7 linked regions of the Mus musculus genome follow. The protein of the gene in region 3 interacts with the protein of the main gene of each other region in a pairwise test. Links are inferred from orthologs where the notes say so. Each region holds a gene or a part of one and is shown on either strand. Other genes may lie near its edges. The genes, in order: Fxr2, Snx15, Arl6ip1, Spg21, Sucla2, Snx12 and Snx11.

Region 1 (3,500 bases), on a different chromosome or scaffold from region 3:
GCTAAATACTGATAGGAGTCATATGACAATAAGGAGCAAGAAGAGAGATATACATTTGTTTCATTTTCAAATATTTATAGCAGGTAGAGAGGTAGTGGCACAAGCCTTTAATCCCAGAACTCAGGAGGCAGAGGCAGGTGGATTTCTGAGTTCGAGGCCAGCCTGGTCTACAGCAGACAGTCTCAAAAAAAAAAAAAAAAAAAAAAAAAAAAAAACCCACGTATTTATTTATGTACATCTCTCTGTGTGTGAACATGTTATATGAACATAGGTGCATAGACCAAAAGAGGGTGTCAGGTGCCCTGGAACTGGAGTTATTGGTGGTTGTGAGATACACGGAGAAGGGAGAGACAGGAACCCCCAGAGCTGGCTGGCTAGCCAAAGTTGGCTAGCTCTGGGTTAGGTGAAGATAAGCCGCCTTGTAAAGTGTATCATGATTAAGAGATATCGGATACCAACACTTAAGGGTTTCCAACCCAGACGTGCACCTATATACATGCAAATATATACACACACAGATCCAAATATATCCAAGGGCTGGGGTACAACAGCTAAATGGCAAGGCACTTGTCTAGAGCACATAGGTGTGTGAAAATCATGGTTTAATTTCTAGCATAGGAAAAAAAGAAGAGAAGGAATAAATTAAAGTCATACATAAGGACAATTAAGGAAAGGAAAGGCTACCTGGTCCAGAAGTATCAGAAGGAATAAAGTAAGCATGAACATAGTCGAGCATGAGCAAAAGCCATATATCCACTTTTCTAAAAGTTTAAGCAGTAAAAAAGGAAAAACTGTTGAGTAGGCTTGTTAAATTCAAGCATGAAACTCACCAGAATAAAGAGCTCACTGTTTGTGATGTTGAGAAAGATGCAGTTGGCTCCCAGTGCTTTCTTGAACTCCTTATGGACATTTTCATTGGAGCAGCTGCAGAAAAAAGTAACATGCTCAGGAAAGGGGGCACAAGAAGCCCGGGAACAAGCGGGGAGGAGAAAACCAGAGAGGTAGAACCCCTGCTAAAAAAACAGGGCTTAAGAAAATCATTTTGTAAAATAATTACAGCAAGGCACAGTGGCACACGGTTTTAGTCCCAGCACTTGGAGGCACAGGCAGGAGGAGCTCTGTGACTGCAAAGCAAGTCTGGTTTACAGTTTTAGGTCAACCATAGCTGTGTAGTGAGGCCATCTCAAAACCAACAAAACACAGACAGACAGGAAAAGAGAGAGTGAACGATGAAAAATGGGAGGGTTATGGGCATAGCATGTAAAAAGGTCCTCACAGGCCAGAGGATGAACAGGGCAGAGTGAAGAGTGGAAGACCTGGAGAAACGAGGACAGAGCTGGCACTGTGGAAGTCTCTAATCCCCAACCTCTCCAACACTTACGCCTCCCTGAGGTCCTCAGGCACAGCCATGGTAACCTTGAAGAAGCTGCCTTTGGTTGCAAGGGGACTGGGATTGACTGGCCGAAGTCGTTCCAGAGTGACAATCTCATTGTAGGTAGCATCACAGGCAGCGTACTCAATGACATAGAACTGGCAGAAAAGAGAAAGAATGTATATTACCTTTTCAGGAACAAAAGAACAGTCTCAGGAATTCCCCAAAGGGCTTCAGTCACTCACATCTCCCTTCATCATCCGCACCCGGGCCAGCCACCAGCCACAAGGTTCCTGTTCATTGGCTCTCGAATAGACCTGAAAGAGGAGAAATAAAGAGAAATGGCATTGAAGACTATCCAAAAATATCAAGAATTGGAGAAAGCATCCAAATACCCAAGCATTCGTAAACCCACAAGAGGAAACAAGGAGATACCAACTCAAAGTATGGGGTCCCTGAGTTTTATTTATTTCACTTTTTTTTTGCTCAGTGGGCAAGAGTTCTCCAAGCCCAACGACCTGAGTTCAAGTCCCAGAGCTCACAGGTCATGACCACCACTCCTAAGCTGTGGAACACTCATGCCCCTCAAACACACACACACACACACACACACTACTTCACACTAAGGAAAAAAGATAAAGAGATGGAGGTCTTGAGCTGGAGAGATGGCTCAGAGGTTAAGAGCACTGACTGCTCTTCCAAAGGTCCTGAGTTCAGTTCCCAGCAACCACATGGTGGTTCACAACCATCTGTAATGGGATCTGATGCCCTTTTCTGGTGTGTCTGAAGACAGTGACACTGTACTCACATACATAAATAAATCTTAAAAGAGAGAAAGAGAGAGATGGAAGTCTCACTATATTGACCAGAACAATCAAAAACTCTTGGGCTTAAGTGAGTCTCCTCCCTCAGCCTCCAAGTACTGAAACTGGGGTTGCAGATACATTTCAGTGGTAGAATGCGTGCCTTACATGCCCAAGGCCTGGGTTTCAATCCCCAGGAACCAAACCCCCCACCCCTTGTACACACACGTACATATATATTGGAACTGTAGGAGTTAGGCTTTAAGTGCATTTGTGACAAATGAAGAAGCAGATCCTTTAAAGCTGGTGCCCCCAGGTCACAGCCACGATAGAAAGGCACTGCTACATTACTCACTGACTACATGGCTAGACACGGTGGCTCAGAAAAGGAAAGAACACAATCAGTAAGTAAAAAACCAAGGTTCCTAATAAAGCAAACATTGGAAAGGTGGACCTCACAGTCCTTACCTCTACTTCATCTCCTTCTGTGATTTCCTTATTGTAGTCAGCTGGAGGCGGTAGTCGGACATCCCCAAAGGGAATCTGTCTCTCACTCTGCCAGCTATAGGACAAACAGTGACATGAAAGCTATTCAGATTGATGTTATTGTCCACCTCTTCACAAGGGGGTTACTCCCTTAGACCACTTTTTTTTTTTTCCATTTTTTTCCTGTTTTTTTTCTTTTTTTTTGGTTTTCTGAGACAGGGTTTCTCTGTGTAGCTCTGGCTGTCCTGGAACTCACTCTGTAGACCAGGCTGGCCTCAAACTCAGAAATCCGCCTGACTCTGCCTCCCAATTGCTGGGATTAAAGGCATGCGCCACCACTGCTCTGCTTCTTTCTGTTTTTTAATTAGATGTTTTCTTTCTTTATTTGATGTTATCTCCTTTCCTAGTTTCCCCTCCAAAAATCCTCTATCCCCACCCCACCCCCAGCCAGACCACTTTTATTCTTCCTGGTAAAGAGTCAAAACACCAAGCCGGGCATGGTGGCGCACGCCTTTAATCCCAGTACTCGGGAGGCAGAGGCAGGCAGATTTCTGAGTTCGAGGCCAGCCTGGTCTACAGAGTGAGTTCCAGGACAGCCAGGATTACACAGAGAAACCCTGTCTCGAGAAAAAAAAAAAAAAAAAGTCAAAACACCAGATCCTGTTCCATAGTGGTCTTTTATCCTTGCTACCAACTATCAAGTGACCAAAACTTGCACCAAGCTATCTGCTCTTCTTTTCTTAGAATTTCCATCTAAACCCTCAGCTCTCTGCCATCTATTACAGGCCTCACAGACCTCAGCAGTCTCTCCTCTCACCCTCCTTTAGGGCCTAGTGATA
Region 2 (4,124 bases), on a different chromosome or scaffold from region 3:
CTATTTATTTATTATATGTAAGTACACTGTTGCTGTCTTCAGACACCCCAGAAAAGGGAGTCAGATCTCATTACAGATGGTTGTGAGCCACCATGTGGGTGCTGGGATTTGAACTCAGGACCTTTGGAAGAGCAGTCAGTGCTCTTAACTGCTGAGCCATCTCACCTCAGATTTTTTAATGGTTCTTTTTTTTAATGATTTATTTATTTATTATATTTACATATTTACATGTATTATATTTACAGCACACTGTAGCTGTCTTCAGACACCCCAGAAGAGGGCGTCATACCTCATTATGAATGGCTGTGAGCCACCATGTGGTTGCTGGGACTTGAACTCAGAACCTTTGGAAGAGCAGTCAGTGCTCACAACCGCTGAGCCATCTCTCCAACCCTTAATGGTTCTTTTATCCACTCTTTCCTATTTGAAGATGGGATTTCTGGTAGTGGTGGGATGTGCTGCAATCTATGTTTAGTGATAATCTTCCACACCAATTTGGCCTTGATCAATTGGTGTTGGGTTTTCGCTATCCCTGTGTTGTGCCAGCATGCCTCTTGATCTGATCTGTTACAGAAGATACTGTGTCAGGTACCACTTTCCATAGATGAAAAACTAGATGCATGCAGTTACAAGAGGGAAATGTAATGCTTACCAAGGATTTCAGCATTTGGGAGATGGAAATTGGAGGGTCAGAAATCCAAGGCCAGCCTCAACTACATAGAGAGTCTGAGGCCAAACTGGGCTACATGAGATCATCTCAACGTCCAACCTCCCCAAATTTGAAGCAGTTAAGGGGAATTCAAATACGTGTAAGTGTTGTGATTTCAGAGCCTCTGTCACTATCCAGTTTTTTCAGCATCAGAAAATGTCAGTGTGTGTCGTTCCCCCCACCCCCCAATCCGCACAGGGAGGCAGGGAACTTGGCTCTGCTAGGCACATTTTGAACACAATAAAAGTTGCATGGGTTAGACCCTATGCCAAGCACCTGAAGTTCCAGATACTCAGGAGGCTTAGGTAGGAGAATATTTTAAGCCCAGAAGTTGGTCAACACAGCAGAGATCTTAGCTTAAAATAATTCATAAATAAGAGGCTGGATGAGTGTAAAGAAGATAAATAAAGAAACGTTTCGGAGGTCTGTAAGGAGGGTTTACGTTAGGGGGAAGTGGGTTCAATCACATGCCAGGATGCCAGCTGGTAAATCCTCTCCCAAACAACCAATCCTTAGTCTCTACCTAGAACTCCGCTTTACCAATGACCTAGAACTTGTCAGACACTCCCTTAGCCACGCCCCCAAGCCAAGAACGGTTGTGTCACTTGCGACTAGGTCCCTGGGCCTGAAGAAGGGCGCAGGCCGGATCCTGGCAGTGGCAGTAGGCTCAACACGCGGGGAGCGGGGGCGACGTGCAGGAGGAGGAGCCGGCGACCGGCTCCGCTGTCATGTCGCGCCAAGCGAAGGATGACTTCCTGCGACACTACACAGTCTCGGACCCTAGGACCCACCCCAAGGGTTACACAGAGTACAAAGTAACCGCTCAGGTGAGGTGGGACCCAGCGGGGGAGCATTACCCTTTTAAGCAGCTCCGGATCCGTGCTGTACCTTAAAGGCAAAGAGCTTCAAGGAGGTCGCGGTTTGGCCTACACAAATAGATTTCCCCTTTAAGAGGCGCCTGAGACAGAAGATTTAAGGCGCCTCACCTCCTGGGGCGGGGCTAAGGGTCATTTTTTAAAGTCTGTGGAGCTTGGCTCTGCGCTTGGCCCGGTACCCCCTCTCTGTTGTTGGTGATGTCTAGATGCGGTCTACGAATTTCTCAAAGCAAGAAAACTCCGGATTAACCTAAATATTCCTTCTCTAATCGCTTAGAGTAACTTTTGGTAATTTTCCCTGCTTGATCCGTAAAAGCCCCACCACCACCTTTTTATTTATCTATCTTTTCTTTTTTTGAGACAGCCCTGGCTTTTGCGAACTCACGATGTAAACTAGACTGGCCCGGAAGTCACCGAGACCCTCCTGCATCTGCCTCCCAAGTGCTATGATTAAAGGCGTGCACCACCAGGACCAACTATAAAAAAAGCTCTTTAAAAGTTTAAATGTATGTGTGTGTGTATATACACATATACACATATAATTTTATTATACTATTTATATATTATATATATATAATTTGTGTGGTTTTAAAAACTCACGCAAAAAAAAAAAAAGACTGGTCTTAACAGATAAGGAAGTCAATAAGCTGAAATTGGTGTTTGTAACAATAAAACTTAGAATGAGCTCGTAGAAACATCAGCATGAAAGAATGCTTTTAGAATTTTACCCAAGGTAACTATGGAGGTCTCCAATGGGAGAAACCGGGTTGCTGCGGAAAGACTGACTATATATTTTCTTGTACTTAAATTTTTTTCAACTTGGCAACTGTTTGATTAGTGGCTTGTCGACTGTTAAAAGGAAGCAAACACATACAAGTCGCTCCCAAAGCAATCTAAGTCAGAGTCTTAGATACGTCAAGAGTGTTCCGGGGGTTTACTTTTTCATGCCAAAAAATACAAATATAATAATTGTCTCTAGGAAGATGCCGGAGGGTAGAAAGGATGACAAGGCATTCAGAACCCTTATGTCTTCCTGTTAGCCTTTTAGATCTAGTCACATGCCTTACACATGCATAGAGTTGTTTTTTTTTTCCAGTGCTAGGGTTGAACTCATGGCCTCCCACATTTTAGAGAACTCTCTCTCTCTCTCTCATTCTCATTCTCTCTCTCTCTCATTCTCTCTCTCTCTCTCTCCATGTCTCTCTCTTGCCACAGCACCCTACAAGATGATCCTTTTTTTATTTTATAGATTTATTTACTTAATTTTTTTCTTTATTTATTTCGAGGCATGTTTTTTCCCTGTAGCCCTGGTTGTCCTGGGACTTGTGTTGTAGACCAGGCTCAAACAGAGATCCATTTGCCTCTGCCTCCCCAGTGCAGCATCCCTAGGGATTAAAAATGTGTACTACCCCTCCTGGCTTATTTACTTAAAGATTTAAAACGTAGTTGTTTTTTTAAAAAACAAAAACATCTGTGCACTCTCCATGCAATACCAAAGGAGGCCAGAAGAGGGTGGTAGATCCCTATTGATTGGAATTACAAGCGCTTGTGTGCCCTCACGTTGGTGCTGGGAATAGAACTTCTGTCCTCTAGAAAGCAGCCAGTGCTCTTAACCTGAGCCATCGATCCAGCTCCAGATTTATTTAATTTTATATGTATGAATATTTTGCCTGTATGTATGTTTATGTACCAAATACAAGCCTGGTGAGATCAAAGGTCAAAAGAGGTCTTGAATCTCCTGGAATTGGACTTAGAAATTATTTCTATCTGCCATCTCAGTGCTGGGAACCAAACCCAGGTCCTTGGCTACAGCAGCGAGTGCTTTTACCTGCTGAATCATCTCTCCTTGTTTCTGGCTGATGTACGTGTCTGTGTGAATGTGTAGCACAACTGCGTGTGGATGCCTGTTGAGGTCAGAGGAAGGTGCATCAGATCTGATCCCCTGGAGCCAGAATTACAAACGATTATGAGCCACATAATGTGGGTACTGTTCTGGGCACTGAATGTAGTGCTTGGAAGATCAGGTCATGCTCTTAACTACCGAGCCACCCCTCCTGTCCCCATCCTTAGATTTTAAATGGGCATCTTAATCATGTCTGGTTTGCTGAGATCTAGAAAAAAAAAATGGAAAGGATGTTTTGAAAACTGTTGATTCTAAACTGTACAACCTTACTGTAAAACTCCCATAAGCATAATAGCAAAAACTAAGTGTTACTTCTGTCTCGGGCCAATTCTGTTCTTCCAGAGTGCCCAACCCCACTGCTAACTCTGTCTTCATGGGTATGAGACATTGTAGCTCCTCTCTTTTTTTTTTTAAAGATTTATTTATTTATTATATGTAAGTACACTGTAGCTGTCTTCAGACACTCCAGAAGAGGGCATCAGATCTTGCTACGGATGGTTGTGAGCCACCATGTGGTTGCTGGGATTTGAACTCCGGACCTTTCACCAGCCCGTAGCTCCTCTCTTAAGAAGAACTGGATCCTGGGACAGACTCTCATTTTTTTTAAATGATTTATTTATTTTTACTTTATTTTCTG
Region 3 (4,183 bases):
TCGAACTCAGAAATCTGCCTGCCTCTGCCTCCCCAGTGCTGGGATTAAAGGCGTGCGCCACCACGCCCAGCTGGGTCCTCAAAATTTACTAGAAGGAATATAATAAAGCAAGAGTGCTGAAACACAAGAGTTTGCGTGTCCGGGATTTACTCAACTGCATCAAGTTACAACTTTACATAAGGACTACAAATCTAGAAAGAGGGCAAGCTGCTTGCAATAAAGGCATTCCTTTTGGATTATGTATTACAAAAGCTTCTCTAAGCACAGGCTATGAACCCTCTGAGCATTAGCAATAGAATCTCACTTACAGGAACAGCAGGGAAACCACACCCATGATGGCAGGTGGAAACCAGGCTCTTTCCCATCGAAGGACTTTGTCAGCCATCAGCATCACCTCTCCCCAGCCTTGCAGCTGCTCTTCAAGACTTGCAGTCTCCACGGCCTACACATGATCAACAGTTAAGACTGTTACTTTGCCAATCTCAACACTTTGGTGGCTCAGAGAGTACTTTCTCAGGCATCAAAAACACGTAAAATGCCTTTTACAAAACTGTTATCTTAAACAAGGTGAGTCATGAAAACCTGCAATTTTGGCACCAAATATGAAAATCCATGGGTAGGAAAAAGCCTAGGCTTTAATGGTCATTTTAGCACTGGGCCATATGTCCATGATGTATAATAATATTCCCAAGATTTCACAATTTATTTCAATATTCATGAAAGTGAGCTTAATATGGGAAACTAATATCCCCAAATGCAGCCACAGAGCCAAGAGGCAGTGCTCAGAATATTACTAGATTGAATATTCTGTTTGCCCATTTCAGGTGGTTGGCATTGATCTGTCGATTGGCCGTTTTATTGATTGAAGTCCTTCTAAATCCATCAGGAGAACCTTTCCCTTAACACTAAGTACATAAATCTCTAAAATAGCTTTGTATAATGGAATGACTCTGATGTTGGCAGTCACTGTGGAATTAAAGAAAACTCTTTCAACCAAACTATGTGAGCTCAGCACTTAATGGCTCCTCATCATTAATGATAGAATTTCAATTAAATCTCAAAATTTTTCTGCATATGTGACAACTAGCCAAAAGCACACCTTTACCATGGGCTACTGTGACCTGAACCTATCAGGGACTTTGGTAACGGAAGGTATTTAGAACCTGTTTGTGCAGAACTCTGGATTCAACATCCAGGAACTACATACACACAATGCCCAACTGACACTATCAACTCTTCACAAAGGAATATGCAAATATAGAACAGTTCAGGCTAATTTTAATAAAGATGAGATATGTGACTAAGTACTTTTGACATCTCCCCATACTAGAAATCCTAAACATTTTACATGTTATACTTCAATTGACGCTCCAAAAAAACTGGAAAAGGTATTCTCACAACCTCTACTTTAAGATAAGGCGACTGAGACATAAAGGGGTTAATATATTTAAATCCAGGAAATCCAAGACTAATGGACTTGCTCTCCTTAAAATGATGGAAATAGTAGTGATCAGGCCCTCTCCCATGATAGTTTCCTTGTACAGCAATTAATCCTCTTATTGAATTGTTTGCTGGTATTGTGTAGGAGGAGTTTAAGGGTACAGGGTAAGCATCTCTATTGTATGGTACTGTGTGTGTGTGTGTGTGTGTGTGTGTGTGTGTAGGGAATTTAAGGATACAGGGAATGCACCTCTAAACACAAATACAAACTGAAAATCTTGCACTAATCAAAACTGTCCCGAAGAATCTTGTCGGCACTTAGCAGTTAAAAAGGCAGGCATTAAAAGCTGATTGCTTTTTTCATTTCTGATATGGCCTGCCTTTTCTGGGGAATGACAATACAGAAAAAAAAAAAAAAAGATCTTTCGTTCTTGCCTAGGTGGGTGATGCAGTTAAAAATTTGAAACTAGCAGGGCCTGGTGATGCGCAACTGTAATCCCAGCACAGGAGGATGACAAATACAAGGCTAGCCTCGTCAAGCTACACGAAAACCTAGCCTTAAAAACCAAAAACAAAGACCTAACCAAAAACAAAGACCTGTAATGAAGCAAACGCGCCCTCTTCTAATACCATCATCTCGTGTAGCTCCGTCAAATCCGTGCTAAATCATTTTTAAAGTTGCATCCAGTCCCGTGAGTCCCTCGCCAGTTCCCAGACAAGTGCCAGGATCCCCCACTGTCCTTTCCGCAGAACCCGTTTTCAGCTTCCTGCGGTGAACTCCAACCAGCCAGCTCCAACAAATTCTGTGTCAGCGATAAACTAATTCTCTGTAGCAGCCCTTTGACCCTCCACCCTTGCGCCAAGTTTTAGGAGAAAAAGAATCATGATTAAAAATAATCTACGGAACATGAGATTAAGATCAAAGGGCAAAACAGGTAGGTCTCCGGCCTGAGCCGGAGCGCTAGACAAGGCCCCTGGCGGCCGAGTGCCCCAACCTGTTACCCAGGTTCCTTCTTGCCACAGCCCCCTTCTCACACTTCCTCACGCACGGCCCAAGCCTTATGGTGCAGGATTCCGGGGGACGTTGGGGATCGCCAGCAGCGACCTCCACCGTGGAGATAAGGCCTGGCTGTCCCTGGTAGTCCACCGAGGCCAGGAGGCCCATCCGGAAACTCCGGGGACAGACTGACCACCGCAACTCACCAGCAGGTTGCTGCTGCGGTTATCCCCCTCCGCCATCGTTCCAGACTCGCGGTTATCAACGAGCGAACACACACTATCCCCCCAACACCAGCAAGGCAACCCGAGCGCGGGGGAACGCCCCGCAGTCTGCTTATATAGGCTAGCTGCCTTTCCCGACAGCCCTCGCGAAACTCGCTCCTCATTGGGTAGACCGCACTCCGGCTTCTGGGAAGTCGGGCCAACCGGCAGCTAGCGCATGACTTGAAATCCAGGTCAAAGGAGAGCGAAACTGAAAGACTCTGACCAATCAGAGTGCAGGGGTGTGGCCCTCGAGAGGCGGAGCGGAAGGAAGCGGTTCAACCGCCGTACCTAGTCTCTCACCCAGATCTTCCTAAATCCTGGGGCCTCTCTAGTCCCTAGCTCTTCTGCTGGAAATCAAAACCGCTCAGGCGCCTGTCCGCTCAGCTGCGCAGGGGATGCGCAATGGCATCCTATGCGGAGGCTGGAAGGGCAAGGACGCTTTAGGTTGCTGTGGCACCTGCTGACTGAAGTATTGGCTGCCCCAAGTGAGCGCTGTCTGTGCCTTCTCCCCAGCTCTGGCCTTTGGAGAACATGGAAGATGCACAAACTCTTAAAGGGCTTCATTTGCAGCCAGTTTTTGGGGGAATCATTTGCGGGGTGCTTCACTTGATAATCTATGAGTACTTCAGGTAGCTAGGGGAGCGCTTCATTCGGAGGGATGGATGAGTAGAGGAGCAATTCGGATGTTGGAGGGCTTCAGACTGATAGATTAATGGATGTATGGGGAAGCCAGGCTAAATACGACCTTCAACTAATTTTAAATTATTTTTAAAAACACTTCGTTCCTTAATTCCCAGGTTCTTTAAAGGCCTTGGAGGTTAAAGAGAAATGTGAGAGATCACATAGTGCTCCTAAATATGCCTGGTCCCTTCCTGGCCTATGGTGGCTCTGTCAAAGGGGCATACAATTTGTCATAGAACTTGTGGAAAGTACTAGAAGGTACAGACAACAGTTTTGACCAGGAAGGACGCTCATTGTGTGTGGGCGGGGCGGGGGGGGGATATTATGACTTCGGTTGATACAGAAATCATGTCAAAAATTGTAAAGCCTGGAATTCCCTCCTTCTCCTCAGTATTGAGAACAAAAGGACCCAAACAGCTGCTACCAAGCAATGAGGTGCCCATCTTGGTGGTACCAGGAGCAGTCACTTTGCTAAGAGAGGGCAGAGTAATAAGTTTTTCCTTGGCAACTTGGCTACTGCCCCAGAAAGCTTAGTTTAGTCGGTGTTCCCAAAGTAAAATTTAAGTTTAGGCCAGTCCCAGGTCCCAATCCAGCTCTCACTAACCTTCCAAATGGCTCAGAGGTTACAAACACCTCTTTTTCTACCACAAAGTGACCTTTTGAAATGTGTCAGAAGATGAAGCTCGTAACACAAATCTTCCTCAGAACTTTGGCACTGCAAATGAAGAAGATCTTTGCAAATACTCTTCTTCTTTCAGAGCTTTCACTCACAATTAAGGCTCTGCAGTTTTGTTTTAAA
Region 4 (3,500 bases), on a different chromosome or scaffold from region 3:
GGCGGCACAGGCCCGCAACCCAACACTCAGGAGGTGAAGGCTGAGGCCACAAGATACCTCCTCTCAAAAAGCCAAACCCCTCCCCACCCTAGAGGAGCCAGATGCACCGTCTAGTGTGAGGCCTTGGAAGCCGCTGTCCTTGTAGGCAGTCTTGCTGTACATCTAGGCTGGCCTCAAGATGGAGACCCTTCTGCTTCAGCCTCCCAACCACTGAGGTCACAGGCATAATTACCATAGCCAGGCTGAAAAGAAAATTACTTTTAAATACAAATTTAATTTTACACTTATATTGCAGGTGCCTGTGAGGCCAGCTGACGGTGATGGATTCTCTGAAGTGGAATTTCAGGTAGTTGTAAGCTGCTTGACATGGGTTCAGGGAACCCAATTTGAGTCTTCTGGAAGGGCAGTTCATGCCCTTAACCTTCTCTCCAGTTTATAAGATGGTGCCCTCAGTGACTACCACAGGTGACACTGAGAACTAAACTCACATCTTCTAGAACAACAGTGTTCGTAACCACTAAGTTATCTCTGTAGCCTCTTAAAATAATTCATTAATTAGCTCTTTTCTTTTTCTTTTCTTTTTTTTTTTTTTTTTTTGACAGGTTTTTCTGTGTAGCCCTGGCTGTCCTGGAACTCACTTCATAGACCAGGCTGGCCTTGAGCTCACAGAGATCTGTCTGCCTCTGCCTCCCAAGTGCCAGGTTACTGAATTTAGGCCCCGGCAAGCATTACTCTCCTAAGGTCCTGTTGGATTTGAATGTGCAGCAGTTACTGGGAAGCACTGAGGGAGCTAGGGGCCTCACTAGCAGTAGGGTCTGACTGAAGTACTACAGTTAACACAGCACTGCTCCACAAAGACCTCCCCGACACACCCATAGATGATGGACCTCCTTTTGCATGTGCACAGAAAATCCCAGGGAAAGTGTTCAAGGATGGTCATGATCCTTACCCTGTCCACCATGAAATCAATGGCATCAGCCATCATCGGGTCTACTGGGCCAGAGGAAAAGTTCCCCAAAACGATTTTCTTGAGCATAAACGCTGGCATCAACCAGAAGCTGCAAAACAAGGGGAGAGGCCCGTGACTGACACAGACATGGAGAGTGAGGTCATCACTGAAGCTCCACACAGCAGGACTCCTGGAATCCAGAGGAAGGCAGAACTCTCTTCTGAGCCCAACAACCAGTGTGAGTCTGAAACCAGAGGGTGTGTGGGGTGTGTGGGGGGGAAGGAGGGCATAGGGAGAGGATGACTAAAAAAGAAAAAAAATCCCAAGAATTCTTCAAGTTGGCTTACAGATAAATGAAAGCTTAAATAAAATGGAACTGATCATTAAACTAGAGGTCTTTAGGTTTACAAGAGCGGGGTAAATCTTAGCAGTGGCATATCTTGAATCTATTAGGAAAGGTAAAAATATGTTTGGATCTGTTAATAAACAACTTTTCCTAAACTGTGTGTATGTAGAGAAAGAGTTTAGGGTTGCTTAATTCTTGACCTTAATCCAAAAGTGAGGTCACTAAGAGTTAGGATTGGAATTAGCATGAAATTCTACATAAACAAAGACTACAAAAAGGAGTTGAGCTGCATTCTGATGAAAACATTATAAAATCATAAAATACATTTTACTGAAAACATTGTCTAAATTTAGGTATTTCTGTAAAGTTTATTTTAAAATGTCATTTTGTTGTTACTGTTTTGTTTTGAGACTATATAGCCTGGCTGACCTTGACTCTTGCTTCACAACTGAAGGCATGCACCAGCACACATGGCCTGATGATCTGTATTTCAAGGAAGGAAGCAGGAAACATGAAAGAAATGCAAGGAAAGGTACAAGTATGAAGACATTTCATAGTGTGGAAAGTTAAAAACAGTTTGTTTGGGATAATAAATATTTTGTCCTAAAGTAGAACGGTTAGATTGCTCCAAACGGTACATGAAAGGCAAAGAAACACCAGACCAATAACAGAAAGCTTGTGAAAGAAAACTCACAAGAAGAAACCGAGATCAAGGAAGCTGGGCAGTTGGGCCAGGCAGACGCAAAACAGGGCTGGGAAGATGGGTCACAGGGTAAAGTGCTTGCTCCACAAGCACAGGGCTGGAGTTCACATTTGTAGTGCCTGAGTGCAGGGAGCGTGTAGGAGGGCAGGGCAGGGAATTCCCAGAGCAAGATGGCGAGCTAGAATAGCTATTCTAGCCTCTGCCTCTATGTGAGACAGACAGTGATAGAGGAAGATATTGGCGGCCAATCTCTGCCTCCAGACACGTGACATCCTCTCTCACCCCAAAAGCAGAATAAGAGAAATCTATAAAGGATGGAGGGAGCGTTTCGTACAAACCTGTTCTGGGGGACGTGATGTAACACTTATGATGTTTAACAATACAGAGCAACTGCAGGAGGAGGGAGGCAGACACAGGATGCCTCCTTGCTGGCTGCTGCCTTAGACTGGAGGAAAAGGGTCTCTCCAAATACTAAGATGCCCGAGGCAAAGGAACAGCAGAATAGAGAGTTCTAATGTGAAGGTACAGGGACAGGAAAAAGACTGGGAGGTTCGCAGATACAGAAAGATGCAAGGAACTTACAGCACTCTACAAACGGCCCCATATGAGTCCTGGGTAAATCTGACAGCCAACAATGACGATTTCCTGCTGGGTACCAGTACTATTTGTTCAGAACTGAAATATTAGGTAGCGAGAGCAAAAAAACCCCAAACAACAACAGCAACAACATCAAACACTTTACAGGCTACTCTCCTGATGACAGTCTTGGGAAAGGCAGTGGCATTCTTTTGTAACCTTCAGAATGCTATTCTAGAATTCTGCCCCAAGCACAGTTTCTTTTTCTTTTTTGGTTTTTTGAGGCAGGGTTTCTCTGTGTAGCCCTGGCTGTCCTGGAACTCACGCTGAAGTGCCTATTTCCCTTCAGGGACAAGATTGCCTACCTATCCCACATGCTCAGCACCAAAGTCCAGCTGAACAACCTGAAGTCACCGAGATAGGTAACAACAGCCCTGAGTTGGGTGCAGACAGGGCTCACACAAGACAAAATTCAATTCCCAGTTAGATTGCCTTAAAAGAAGGGGCAAAGATCCTCATCAGATCGCCCTTGGAGAGAAGAAGGGACAAAGCCTCATGTCTTTTTGTAATTAGACTTATTCATTTTATGTGTAAGTGGTTTATTAGCTGGGCATAATGAAATGAGCCTTTAATACCAGTACTTGGGAGAAAGAAGCTGGCAGATGTCTGAGTTTAGTGAGAACTATCAAAAAAAAAGGTGAAAGTAAAAATATTAATACATATAAATATAAAATCCTGCAAGACTCCACATACCATCAGCATGGGGAATGGACTTGCTGAGAACCTGCACGCCTAATGCCGTTTACCCTGCTGATAGCTCCTGCTCCTGGAGATTTCAGGGACCCCTTTTCACAGTTCCAGGAGAAAATAACCCCAAGAACTATTTGCATGTAGGTGGCAGGACCTGCTCAACAGAGCTTTGCCAA
Region 5 (2,930 bases), on a different chromosome or scaffold from region 3:
AAGCATCAACAGCTTCCGTGTGCTGCCTGGGCACTGCTTGTTTTGACTCTTCTCCCAAGCACGCGCACCTGCTGGAGGTGCCGTACCCGAGGGATTTGCATGCACTGGAGTCACGGCTTGCCTGGTCCAGGAGGCCAGAAAGCCTATCCCCGAAGTCACCCATGCAAACACACTTAAAATGTGTTATATTCTCCATAGGAAGTACAGTAGTGCACAGGACTCTACCCTAACTATAAATCTGAGATTTCATGTGTTCAGGGATTTTTAAGAAAGCAGCCCACAGGGCATCCCCACCTCATACCCCCAGAGTCAAAGGTACAAATATGCAGGTGAAAGAAATAACAGTATGTAGCAGACAGTAGATCTGCAAACAAGACTTCTAAAGCTTTAGAATATGTACTGCCATGTCCAGTTGTATGATCTATAAACCGGATCCTTAGACCAATTAATAAAATGAACACCTGTTACTTCAAAAGAAAAAAAAAACCCATAACTCCAAATTACATTAGGAAACTTTTATTGACTTAAGCTGGCATTCTAGTTTTGTCCAAGTCTTAATAGGTGCCTTTCTTATCAATCTGCGTGTGTTTTTACCACCACAGAATCATGACGACTTGCACTTATCATTGTCCTGTAATAATTAAAATGATGTTCAAATAATCAGCAAGTTACTTCTCTAAAATACTTAAAAGATGTTCTGAGGAGTGCTTCCAAGTTCTATGTATAAATAATGATTGATACATTTAAGAGCCATTTGATGCTGAAGATAAATATTTCTTATATAAAACATTGTTATAACATACCATTGTCCTAATGAGGCTGTTATTAGATATATTTTTATACTAAAGAATAAAGCTTTATCTTTGTAGTAATTTTATTTATAGAACTCTTATCAATGAAGAACTCTGTATCCAACACCAGAAAGCAGGCATACTGCAAGTGACATTCTGTAGAGGAAGCAAAAAAAGATGGCTGCAAGAAAAGAGACCACCGTAAGTTTATATCAGACATTCTTTATATAAACAGTCCATTCTCAGCAGCAGAATCAGATGCAGAGCAAATGCTTTCAAAGGTATGTGTGCCTATGTGGTGATTACATTCTCCACACATTAAAAGAAAAGGGACACTAGGAGAGACCACAGTATAATAAAGAATTACAGCACATTAATACCCGTAGCCATCCACCAAGGTCTTGCTCATATTGGCAATTGAAACTTCACATCCACATGGGCTTCTTTGGCTAAGGTCACTATTTCAGAGAGCTTTACAACCTGAAAGAGAGAACAGGGCATATCTGTATGTTCATAAAAAGGTGAACCATTATAAACCAAGGCAAAAGACAGAATCGTTTCCATTTAAAATAGTAGGGCTATTCTGACATTGTTACAAGTTACACTATAGTCTAGTAAGAACTGACACAAGACTGTCAAGTTTGACATTCTCCATAACCTATAATTCAATTAAATATGCCCTGATAAAAATATATAACTAGATGTATTACCTAAATTTTACCTTGAGGACACAAACAAGGAGTATCCTTTCAAGACAGCCCATAATTCAGAGCATAACTAAAGCTTACCTGGAAAAAGCTTACAAGCTTAATCTGGTATTGGGGTAGGAGTTTAGATATAAGAACTGCTGGTGTGGGCTGGAGAGATGGCTCAGCAGTTAAGAGCACTGACTGCTCTTCCAAGAGGTCCTGAGTTCGGTTCCCAGAAACCACATAGTGGCTCACAGCCATCTGTAATGGGATCTGATGCCTTCTTCTGGTGTGTCTGAAGACAGCTACAGTGTACTCATATACATAAAAACTGCTGGCGTAAGGCAATCTTTTGCGAGGAAACCAACAAAAACCAACAAAAACTCCAATGCTCTGTATGATATGAGAATACCTATCTGTTTCCATACAAAATGTCATACAAATTAGACATGTCTACAAACAAAATTCAGCTCCACTCTAAGAGTAGTTACAAAAAAAAAAAAAGAAAGAAAGTAGTATGGGGTTAGAGGTATATGACTTTAAATGAGTGAATTTAGATAGCCTATTTCTTCATATATGACTTTAAATGAGTGAATTTAGATAGCCTATTTCTTCATCTATACACATGGAAACTTTACCACCAGGAGGATCCTTGCAGGGTGTGAAGGGGAAGTATTATCAAACAGTCAAGGCTACCGACTGAACTTCCAGTTTAGGAGAGAATACAGAGGACAGAGCATGCTAAGCAGATGATGGTTACACTCGTTAAACCCAGACTGAAACTGTACAGGACCATAACATAGTACTGGTCCAACAAACCAGGAGGGCTATAGCTTAAGAAACATAGCTGCATATTACCCAACTGCAGTGCATACAGTTTGACACCAAGCTTAACAAAGAACCTAGATGGTACAAAATAATAGTTGAACTTTCACAATCAGAACGCCAGTATTCCACTAAAATAATAGTAATTTCTTTACATCATCATACTAATTCACTTCATATATATGATTGAGAAGTATAAAATGCTGCACATGGGGGTGTATACGAGTTTCTGAAAAAGAATCTGTAAGTTCTCACTGCCTCCAAACACTTCTGCACTGCCCAGTCTGAATGTCCCCTTAGTTGCATTGTTTTTAATTTCCCACCTGCCAACTAGCCATCTGGATCCTTGAATACAAAGTCCTGCTTTTCCTTGTTGTATGAGGCTGAGTACAATTTTTATCCCCCACTGCAAACCCCATCCTAACAGTATTCGTATCTATTGCTGTCACTCCCCAGAATTCAGCCTGCTTTCCTGAAGTACTAATATTACTACTTGGCTGGCTCATTTTAGAATCTAAAGCTATCTAGATCCTTTCCACACTATAAATGCCTTGGCTCATTAGAGCCCACTTACCATTTTAGCAGCTTCATCCAAATCATCACAAGCAAGGATTTTAAGACCACT
Region 6 (4,016 bases), on a different chromosome or scaffold from region 3:
AATCCCCTAAGAGGAAAAAAAAGACATTTAGGATCATAGGATTATAGATTTGTACTAGTATTTACTAAAGATATTGTGTTCCTTAAACAGTAGAAACATAATTAGTGAAAATAAAGTGAAAGGAGAAAGAAAACACAAAATTCAAGTCCACATTGAAATGTCCATATGTACAATGACGTGAGGCCACCATTGCACCTCTCCAGACTCCTCAGGCAGGCAGGATCCATTCCTGAATAAAATTAAAGAGAATAGCTTCATCAATATTTATAAAAAGGAGCTGAAGGGGTAGGATCAATGAGGAGTATGTGTTCAGCCTGAATTAAATTTCCAGGACCAGAAAAATAAATACAAATGACAAATGATTTTAGTACCTTTCTAAACACTAGAGTTCAATAAAACAGCCAAAGCCTCCAATCAACTCAAACCCACAAAATAAAGAAGCACCAAGAACTCCAATCAACATTGTATAACTGGAACTGTGGAAGACACTGAGGAAAATGCTGAGTATACGGGTTAGTCCCAGCACTTGGAAATCAGGTGCAGGTGGATCTGAGTTCCAGGAAAGCCTAATCTACAGAGTGAGTTCCAGGACAGCCAGAGCTATACAGAGAAACCCTGTCTCAAAGCAAAACAAAGTCTCAGTGTACATTTTGCATACTAAGTTTTGCAACTAAAGTTTAACAAGGTCGTGGAAAGAGCATGGACTTTGGAGTCAGAGAGTTGGTTTCAAATCCAGAGGTCTTATACATTACATGTACTTGGGGAAATTACAGAAACTGCATGCTTTCCTGATTTCTGTTTTTTAAAAAAGGTATACAAAAAAATAAAACCTAGATGGGCAAAGTGACACATGCCTTTAATCCTAGCATGTGGGAGGCAGAGGTTGGTGGATCTCTGAGTTTGAGGCCAGCCTGATCTACAAAGCAAGTTCCAGGACAGCCAGGGCTACACAGAGAAACTTGGTATCAAAAAAAAATTTTTTTTAAAGAAACTAAAACCTAGTTTGGGCTTGGCCCATAGTAGGGACTAGTTGGATGGTCTCTGTTATCAGAATTCCTAGAGAACTATTTCCTTACTAATCCCTAAGGTTCTTATGCACCTAGACAAGGTGAACAGACCCTAAAGGCACTCTTTACACTGAACAAGTTAGACTTAGGGTCCCTTGAGTAGTCAAGCCTTCCTCCATGATCACCTCTCTTCTATCAGTTTGAAGAAGATAAATCCCATCCTTCTCCAAAGAGAACATTTCAAATAGTCTAGCCTCCATAAAAACAGTTGTGCTTCATGCTGTGATGGCTTTCTGCCCCCTCTCAATTGAGAGGGTGCCATTGCTCCATAAGATTGTCAGGCACAGGTAGAACAAACATTCTTAATTCAATTCATCTTTTTAAAAAAATGAGAACTTCATATGACTCATAGATCTTCAAAGCTATTCAAAAGAGATACTGTTCGAAAAGAATATCCTGCATCTCTAACCTGAGAAGAAAACACAAGTAAAAAAGAAAAAATGGTTCTTAAATTTTTTTAATCTGTACCATTTCAACTGGGCAAAAAAAAAAAAAATACCTGTGAACCATGTACTATATCTTGCACTGTGGACTAAGCACTGTGGAGTAAGAGAATAAAGTCCCCTGGGGTGCAGACTAGAAGAAGCCATTCCTGGAGCCCTTCTGAAATGTCATGTATTAAAGTAACTACAGATTAGGGGAAGACAAGGCAAATGCTGCCTTTCCCATAAACCCTAAGTGAACGCCAATAAAACCTGAAGTCACCATTGTGGATACTTCACATCTAAAGGCTTAGCAGAGGATGGGAGCAGCAGCTGACAATCCCCAATCCCGGTGCAGGGCCGGGTTTCACGTGAGACATGACATTGTGGTACCTAAGAAACTTAAGCATAAAACAGTTCTCTCTTGCAGATGTCAATCTTACACAAGTCAGCAAAGCATTCTGTCTGCAAATTGCTTTTCTACTGCTCCCATAAGCCCACTGTCTCCCTTTCCTTCACTCACTCTTGCCTTGAACTAAAGGTTTTGCTTAACTCCATCATCCCAGAGAGATCTTATTAGGAAGAAGCTGAGCCCTCCTGCCCTCCCCCCTTTAGAATGGCTTCCCATAACCTAGTTTAGTTATAGAACCCAGCGATACATCGCCTTGGCTTTCCATCCCCCAGCCTTCTTCCATCCTCCCCTCCCGTCCTGTCAATCATGTTCTAGTCTACTTGGATTCCTCACTAATCTTTGTCCATCGTCCACACCCTGTCCAGCCATGCCTCACTTCTTCCTTGTAAGTACTTGTTTTCCTTCATCCCCGCCCCAAGTCCCCTCTGGACTTTTCTGTACCCTCGGGCCACAGCTGAGTCTGCAGCCTCCTCTCCAAACCTTCCAAGCCCTAACCCTCACATGACCCCTCCAAGGCGGCCCGCCGTTAGTCGTCCCCATGCCCCCTCCCCTCCTGCTCCGTCCTCCCTCAGCTGTCTCCCTCACCCCGTGACTCACCCGCATGCGAACCTCATAGGTGGTGAAGCGCGCGCGGCCCACGCCCACCGTCTGTGGATTAAAGATGTCTATCTCCAGGAAGTTACTGGGCGGCCCGTAAGCGTCGGTCAGGTCTTGGGGCTTCGAGTTAAGGCGCCTAGTGTCAGCCACTGCGGTGTCCGACATCTTTCCGAAGAAGAGCCCGGTACCGGCGAAGGGGGTGGGGGACAGAGGCCTGAGGCAAGAGCGCGCACAGCCCCTCCCGCTTGCAAAATAACCAGCCAACCCCCAGACGACGGCGGCGCGCACGCGCGCACGCATGCGCGCACGCACACACCGCCCGAGCCTCGGGCCCTTCACTCTGAATAGTTGCCATGCAGACTAGGGCTGGTACTCTATAATGCAAGCGTCATTCAGACTTCCGGGTGGTACTGGTAGCAGCCCCGGAACCTGCATCTCCAATACTCACTGCCCCAGTAGTTTGAGAAGCACCACACGCATGCTCCTCCAATCTGTGTCCCTCAACCCAAGAAATTGGCTCACCCCGTGCATCAATCAAGCAGTGGGCACTGCCCCACAAGCTATTATCCTAAGGTGATAGGCCGAAACCCCAGGTCCTTAAGTCCGGATTTTCCCTGAAAATAGAATGGTTTCTGGAAGGTGGGGTTCCAACAATAATAGAAAAAACGTAGACTGCAGGCTTACTACTTGTGCCACTGATAGTTTCAATTCAAGCTACACGCAAGTGTAAGCAATACATTGTGGTGCCCGGGAATCAGTAAACACGAATTGCGTAAACAATAAAGATTTCATGTTCTCACTTTTCAGGAATAGTGGGTGTATCTTCATGCCCCACATGTTGCTACATAACAACTAATTCCAGGCATATTCATTTCTTAACAAATTTCAGGATCTTTACTTCATAACTTCTGTCTATATGCTGCAGAACCCGCACTTGGCTATGCTGTGAGCTTGTTTGCAACCTCTCATGAAAGTATGTGTCTGCATGAGAACATCTACAGAAGAACATATTTACATACGTGTAAAATGTATTTGCACATGTTATGTACATACTAAGACAAAGTCTTACATTTATCCTAACTGTCCAGGCTTCCCTTGAACTTGTGGCAGTGCTCCTGCCAAGCCCTCTGGGTTTCAGTGTCACCATGGCCAGCTAGGAATTTTTGTGGTTCTTATGTAGTTTTGAGACACTGTCTCATGAACCCCAGGCTGCTTTCAAACTTGCTTTATAGCAGAGAATGACCTTGAAATCGGACCCTTCGGCCTGTCTCTCCCAAATGCTGTTTTGTGCAGTGCTATGGATCAAATCCAGGCTCTACAAAATCAGCTATATCTGTAGTCCTTAAACATACATTTTGGGGGGGGGGAGTTCAAGACAGGGTTTCTCTGTGTAGCCCTGGCTGTCCTGGAACTCACTCTGTAGACCAGGTTGGCCTTGAACTCAGAAATCCACCTGCCTCTGCCTCCCGAGTGCTGGGATTAAAGGTGTGCGTCACCACGCCCGGCTAAACATACATT
Region 7 (4,273 bases), on a different chromosome or scaffold from region 3:
TCACTGTAAAACTTTTGCCCAAGAACTGTGGCTTAACAATCTTGTGGAACAGAGCCTTGAAAAGGAGCCTACCAGCACCCCCTCCTGGTTATTTAGAGACAACCAAGTCCTTACAAATACCAATCTCTCTTCGTCTTGCTAACCAAAGTCACCTCCATACAGGTGGGTGCTCCTAGGGGTGAAGAGGCCAGCTACAGTTTACCACCTTCCCTGACCAGCTAGCTCTCCAGACCTGGAGCCAACCACTACAATCAGTTGCGATCCTGCCATGCCATCCGGTTTGTACCTCTGCCCAAGCACCCCACAGCTTCTCAGGTCAACTCAGGATGCATTCCGCTCCTTTGTAAAGATTCATTAAAGCCTAAGCCACTCATTTCCCCCAGTGTGGTAGTTTATGCGTACAGCGACATCGCCCACTCCAACACGGGGACCATGAAGGCTGGAACACAGGGTTACTGGATTCCAAAGGGGCCCATGATGTCACCTTCTGTTAAAATACAGCACTAATCTTGTTACTCCTAGAGCCGCTCCAACTGCAGCCACCCTGGCTGCCGCCTCCACCCCCTTCCTCTCTCTTAAGAGCAGAACAATAAGGTTTAATTTCCCTTTCCAATTTACCTTGAAATGAAAACTGACTCCAGCCAATATGTACTGCCAACAAATGATGCGGGCTGGCTCCTGGGAAAACAAGGCTCTCTCTAAGCTCTCCCTCTCTCCTCCTCCCATGCCCATCCGCACACCCACTCGTTTTTTACAGTCCCACAATTAATTTTAAACACATTCTCTTATTAGTTCTGCCTTACCATTAGCAGAGTGCATAATGAGCTTCCGTCTATTTTATGTTTTGCTAACATAGGGCTAATGTTTCAAAGGAAGGGAAACTCGTTTACGGCATGAAATTAGCAAAGCAAACAGCTTTTGCAATTCTTCCCAATATCCCAGAAGGTCTCTCTACAGACAGACATGGCATGCGGGGACAAAGCTGCATGGCAGATAACAAAACAGAGCTGAACTGTGGAGCAAACCCGAGGTTTTGTGATTTCAACACCATAATAAACAGCATTCTTGCTGACAGTCTGATTTTTTTCATCCGCAGCAGTCACCACCTCCAAGAGGCCCTAGACTGAAAGGCAGGAAATCTCAATTCCCCAATAACCCAGTCCGACAGTCCAGACGGGTACAGACAAAGATCTGTGACCAAAACCAACAGGCTTTCTGTGAATATTAATTAGCCTGCTGGGATTTCCCCCTCTCTTCTCCTCTTAGGCGCTTGCTAAACTGCCAACGGAAGAACAGAAAGTTAAATATTCTTAAGTGGTTTTGTTGTTGTTGTTGTTGTTTGGTTTGGTTTGTGTTTGTAGTACAACAGAAAAGATGACAAGAAAGAAAGGCATCTATCCACTTAGGGGAGATCACACCACTCTGCCTGGAAAAGTCTGTGAAACTCAAGACTCTAGTTCAGTAACTGTTCATCAGACGTTTGGTATAAAGAGTTTGCTAGGGGCCTGCAGCACCCCCATGTGGAAGTTTTTCTCCTTTGTTTTGGAGCTAATGTCATAGAGAAACAAATAAACTGTCTTTTAAGACATTCCAAGTCTCCTGGGTCTCTGTAGGCTCAAGGCTAAGCGTAAAAGGCACTAAGAAGGTTCTGGTGGTCAATTTCCCCTAAGACACTGAGACTGCAAAAAGCAGACTCCGTTTCCAACAACCACTGCTCTTCATCACTGTCCTTCCCAACGACACCACTCTCAGTCGTTATTCCTGGAGAAACAGCAAGTTCTTAACTTCACCTCCATGACCCGTCCAAAGAGGTGGATCTGTGCATCCATTAAGGAAGGGCAGAGTCAAGTAACCTCGAAAGGTGAGGAAACTTACTCCATGCTAACTACATTCCCGGGGCCTTTTCCATCCCATCTGAAGCGCTCACTGCTTCCCTCGGCAGTACCAGCACCCATAGTCCCGGGAAAGAGCCAAGGGGTTTGGTGTGTACAAAGTTTGACGCATTGTAAAGCTCACAGCTGCTAATTCAGGGGAGCAATTCAAAGCTTTCTCATTTTCTCCGCCTCTTAAAACTACTTCAAGGGACACGTAAAAAACACATCAGGCTGTAAAAAAGATTGCACCAAGGAGTCTCCCGCCCCTCCTTACTCGTTCTTGAGCCTTTGGTGTCAACAGACAGCAATTCTAAAACCTCGCCTTCCTAAATACCCACAGGTGTTCGAGGAAGCTCTTCCGCCTGACAGAAAACCTGTCCCGTCCATCAAGCAGCTGTTCTCATTTTTCAGTCGGTAACCCACTCCTTTCACCTGCAAGTAACAAAGGAAGAGCATAGTTTCCAGTATCTGCGAAAAATATCTGCCATTCCCTTCCACTGCCGGCCACTTGGGTAGACATCCCTAATTCTGACTCCGGCCACTCCTTTCCATTCTTTAGCAAACTCAGATGGAAACCAGCCCAACGGTCCTTCTCTTTTCCCGGCTAAATCGGGACGGAAAGACGATTTTCAAGGTATATTGAAAAGCCAGGCTTCCTTTCTTCTTGGGTCCCAGCAAGCCCTCACTTTCATACCAGGCAGTAAGGCAGCCCCCTCCCTAGTGTGTCAACCGAGGCCATCACTCAAATGCCACCACCACGGCTCAAGCCAGCATCCCATTCCCAAGCAGCACCTACGAGCCGCGGCCACGCCCACGCCCCCTCACCTGAGAGCAGCAGCAGCAGCTCTCCACAGCGACACCACCAGCACCGCACCATATAGTCCGATACCGGCTTCTCCTTCCGGGTGAGTCGCCGGTGCCCCGGTGCACGACGGGAGGCGGCTCCCGACGGGCCAATCCTGAGTGTCCCGGACGCCCCACCCCTGAAGACCAGGGCTCTCAGTGGCGATCGCTGGTCAGAGGAGGCTCTCCATCCCGCCCAGGCCTAAGCTGAAATCCGCATCTTTCCGGAAATCGCTAGGGGGCGCGGGAGGCGGAGCGCAAAGACCGAGACCCCGCAAAGTCCACTCCGGTGCCGTGTCCCGCCCACCGCCATTAGGCGGGCCAATCAGCGCTCAGGGAACGTGTTTGAAGGCCGACGAAAGCATCTTAGGAGCCTAAACGTCTTCAGGGTGTTAAAGAGCAGTAAGTGTGGGAGGTTTCTCGCGTTCCTGAAGCCTTACTAAGATCTAAGATCTCGAAAGTCTGGGTTTGAACCTCAGAGGTTGCAGTTCCCCATCTAAACTGTCAAGGGCACTGCCAGTTTGATTTGGAAAACCCACAGATTATCCCAACAGCAGACGAGAAAGTTGACAACAGTTGTCAAGCCCAAAGAAGGATCATACAGTTAGTAAGCAAGAAAAAGCCGGTGAAAATGCTTACTATAGAAATATCTAAAGTCCGGGCTGGAGAGACGGCTCAGGGGGTAAGAGCACCCGACTGCTCTTCGGAAGGTCCTGAGTTCAAATCCCAGCAACCACGTGGTGGCTCACAACCATCTGTAATGAGATCTGATGCCCTGTTCTGGAGTGTCTGAGGACAGCTACAGTGTACTTACATGTAATAAATAAATACATCTTTTTTAAAAAGACAAAAAAAAATATCTTAAAGTCCTCTTAAGCCAATGGAAGTGGCTCACGCCCAGAATCCTAACACTTGGCCATTAAAGACATATAGTGAGCTCTAGGATACGGAGTAAGGCTGTTGGAAAACACAAACGAAAAGCCTCCTTGATCTGTTAAAAAGTTAATTTTAGGGCTGGTGAGATGGCTCAGTTGGTAAGAGCACCCGACTGCTCTTCCAAAGGTCTGAAGTTCAAATCCCAGCAACCACATGGTGGCTCACAACCATCTGTAATGAGATCTGACTCCCTCTTCTGGAGTGTTTGAAGACAGCTACAGTGTACTTACATATAATAAAAATAAATAAGTCTTTAAAAAAAAAGTTAATTTTACCTCTGTAACCCCAGCACTTGGAAGTAGAGGCAGGAACTGAAGGCCAACGCCAACTATATAGTGAGTTTCAGGCTAGCTTGGGCTACCTAAGACCCTGCCTCAAAAACAGCAAGACAGGAGTTGGCAAAATGGCTTCAGAAGATGAGTTCAGGACCCCCAAATTCACACAGTTCACACATTCCTGCAACTCCCACTTCAATGGATCCGAGGCATACACACATCAAAAATAAATATTTTTATTTTTTGTAGCTGTTTTGCCTATAAATAGGTTGTGTACCATGTGTCTACCTGAAACCCTACGAGGCCAGATGAGGGCCTTAGATCTCCTGGCACTGGAGTTAGAAG

What was found.
Region 1: the proteins of Arl6ip1 (region 3) and Fxr2 interact in binary tests that used the Homo sapiens proteins (3 or more experiments, as listed by UniProt). The two-hybrid records come from large-scale screens. The link is inferred for Mus musculus from reciprocal best matches to the Homo sapiens genes ARL6IP1 and FXR2.
Region 2: the proteins of Arl6ip1 (region 3) and Snx15 interact in binary tests that used the Homo sapiens proteins (3 or more experiments, as listed by UniProt). The two-hybrid records come from large-scale screens. The link is inferred for Mus musculus from reciprocal best matches to the Homo sapiens genes ARL6IP1 and SNX15.
Region 4: the proteins of Arl6ip1 (region 3) and Spg21 interact in binary tests that used the Homo sapiens proteins (3 or more experiments, as listed by UniProt). The two-hybrid records come from large-scale screens. The link is inferred for Mus musculus from reciprocal best matches to the Homo sapiens genes ARL6IP1 and SPG21.
Region 5: the proteins of Arl6ip1 (region 3) and Sucla2 interact in binary tests that used the Homo sapiens proteins (3 or more experiments, as listed by UniProt). The two-hybrid records come from large-scale screens. The link is inferred for Mus musculus from reciprocal best matches to the Homo sapiens genes ARL6IP1 and SUCLA2.
Region 6: the proteins of Arl6ip1 (region 3) and Snx12 interact in binary tests that used the Homo sapiens proteins (3 or more experiments, as listed by UniProt). The two-hybrid records come from large-scale screens. The link is inferred for Mus musculus from reciprocal best matches to the Homo sapiens genes ARL6IP1 and SNX12.
Region 7: the proteins of Arl6ip1 (region 3) and Snx11 interact in binary tests that used the Homo sapiens proteins (3 or more experiments, as listed by UniProt). The two-hybrid records come from large-scale screens. The link is inferred for Mus musculus from reciprocal best matches to the Homo sapiens genes ARL6IP1 and SNX11.

Annotation. Positions count from the first base shown.
Region 1 is NC_000077.6:69,639,471-69,642,970, reverse strand, and holds part of Fxr2 (fragile X mental retardation syndrome-related protein 2), read right to left. Parts: intron 2,738-3,500; coding exon 2,644-2,737; intron 1,690-2,643; coding exon 1,618-1,689; intron 1,531-1,617; coding exon 1,382-1,530; intron 925-1,381; coding exon 831-924; intron 1-830. UniProt on the Homo sapiens protein: mRNA-binding protein that acts as a regulator of mRNAs translation and/or stability, and which is required for adult hippocampal neurogenesis. Specifically binds to AU-rich elements (AREs) in the 3'-UTR of target mRNAs.
Region 2 is NC_000085.6:6,125,461-6,129,584, reverse strand, and holds the start of Snx15 (sorting nexin-15), read left to right. Parts: upstream 1-1,324; 5' UTR 1,325-1,437; coding exon 1,438-1,536; intron 1,537-4,124. UniProt on the Homo sapiens protein: May be involved in several stages of intracellular trafficking. Overexpression of SNX15 disrupts the normal trafficking of proteins from the plasma membrane to recycling endosomes or the TGN.
Region 3 is NC_000073.6:118,126,826-118,131,008, forward strand, and holds the start of Arl6ip1 (ADP-ribosylation factor-like protein 6-interacting protein 1), read right to left. Parts: upstream 2,801-4,183; 5' UTR 2,680-2,800; coding exon 2,644-2,679; intron 443-2,643; coding exon 309-442; intron 1-308. UniProt on the Homo sapiens protein: Positively regulates SLC1A1/EAAC1-mediated glutamate transport by increasing its affinity for glutamate in a PKC activity-dependent manner.
Region 4 is NC_000075.6:65,477,937-65,481,436, reverse strand, and holds part of Spg21 (maspardin), read right to left. Parts: intron 1,059-3,500; coding exon 950-1,058; intron 1-949. UniProt on the Homo sapiens protein: May play a role as a negative regulatory factor in CD4-dependent T-cell activation.
Region 5 is NC_000080.6:73,593,715-73,596,644, reverse strand, and holds the end of Sucla2 (succinate--CoA ligase [ADP-forming] subunit beta, mitochondrial isoform 1 precursor), read right to left. Parts: coding exon 2,880-2,930; intron 1,272-2,879; coding exon 1,197-1,271; 3' UTR 501-1,196; downstream 1-500. UniProt on the Homo sapiens protein: ATP-specific succinyl-CoA synthetase functions in the citric acid cycle (TCA), coupling the hydrolysis of succinyl-CoA to the synthesis of ATP and thus represents the only step of substrate-level phosphorylation in the TCA.
Region 6 is NC_000086.7:101,219,764-101,223,779, forward strand, and holds the start of Snx12 (sorting nexin-12), read right to left. Parts: upstream 2,801-4,016; 5' UTR 2,799-2,800; coding exon of another isoform or gene 2,664-2,798; coding exon 2,499-2,663; intron 1-2,498. UniProt on the Homo sapiens protein: May be involved in several stages of intracellular trafficking.
Region 7 is NC_000077.6:96,774,756-96,779,028, forward strand, and holds the start of Snx11 (sorting nexin-11), read right to left. Parts: upstream 2,801-4,273; 5' UTR 2,700-2,800; intron 2,307-2,699; 5' UTR 2,213-2,306; exon of another isoform or gene 2,149-2,212; intron 679-2,148; exon of another isoform or gene 619-678; intron 1-618. UniProt on the Homo sapiens protein: Phosphoinositide-binding protein involved in protein sorting and membrane trafficking in endosomes. Regulates the levels of TRPV3 by promoting its trafficking from the cell membrane to lysosome for degradation.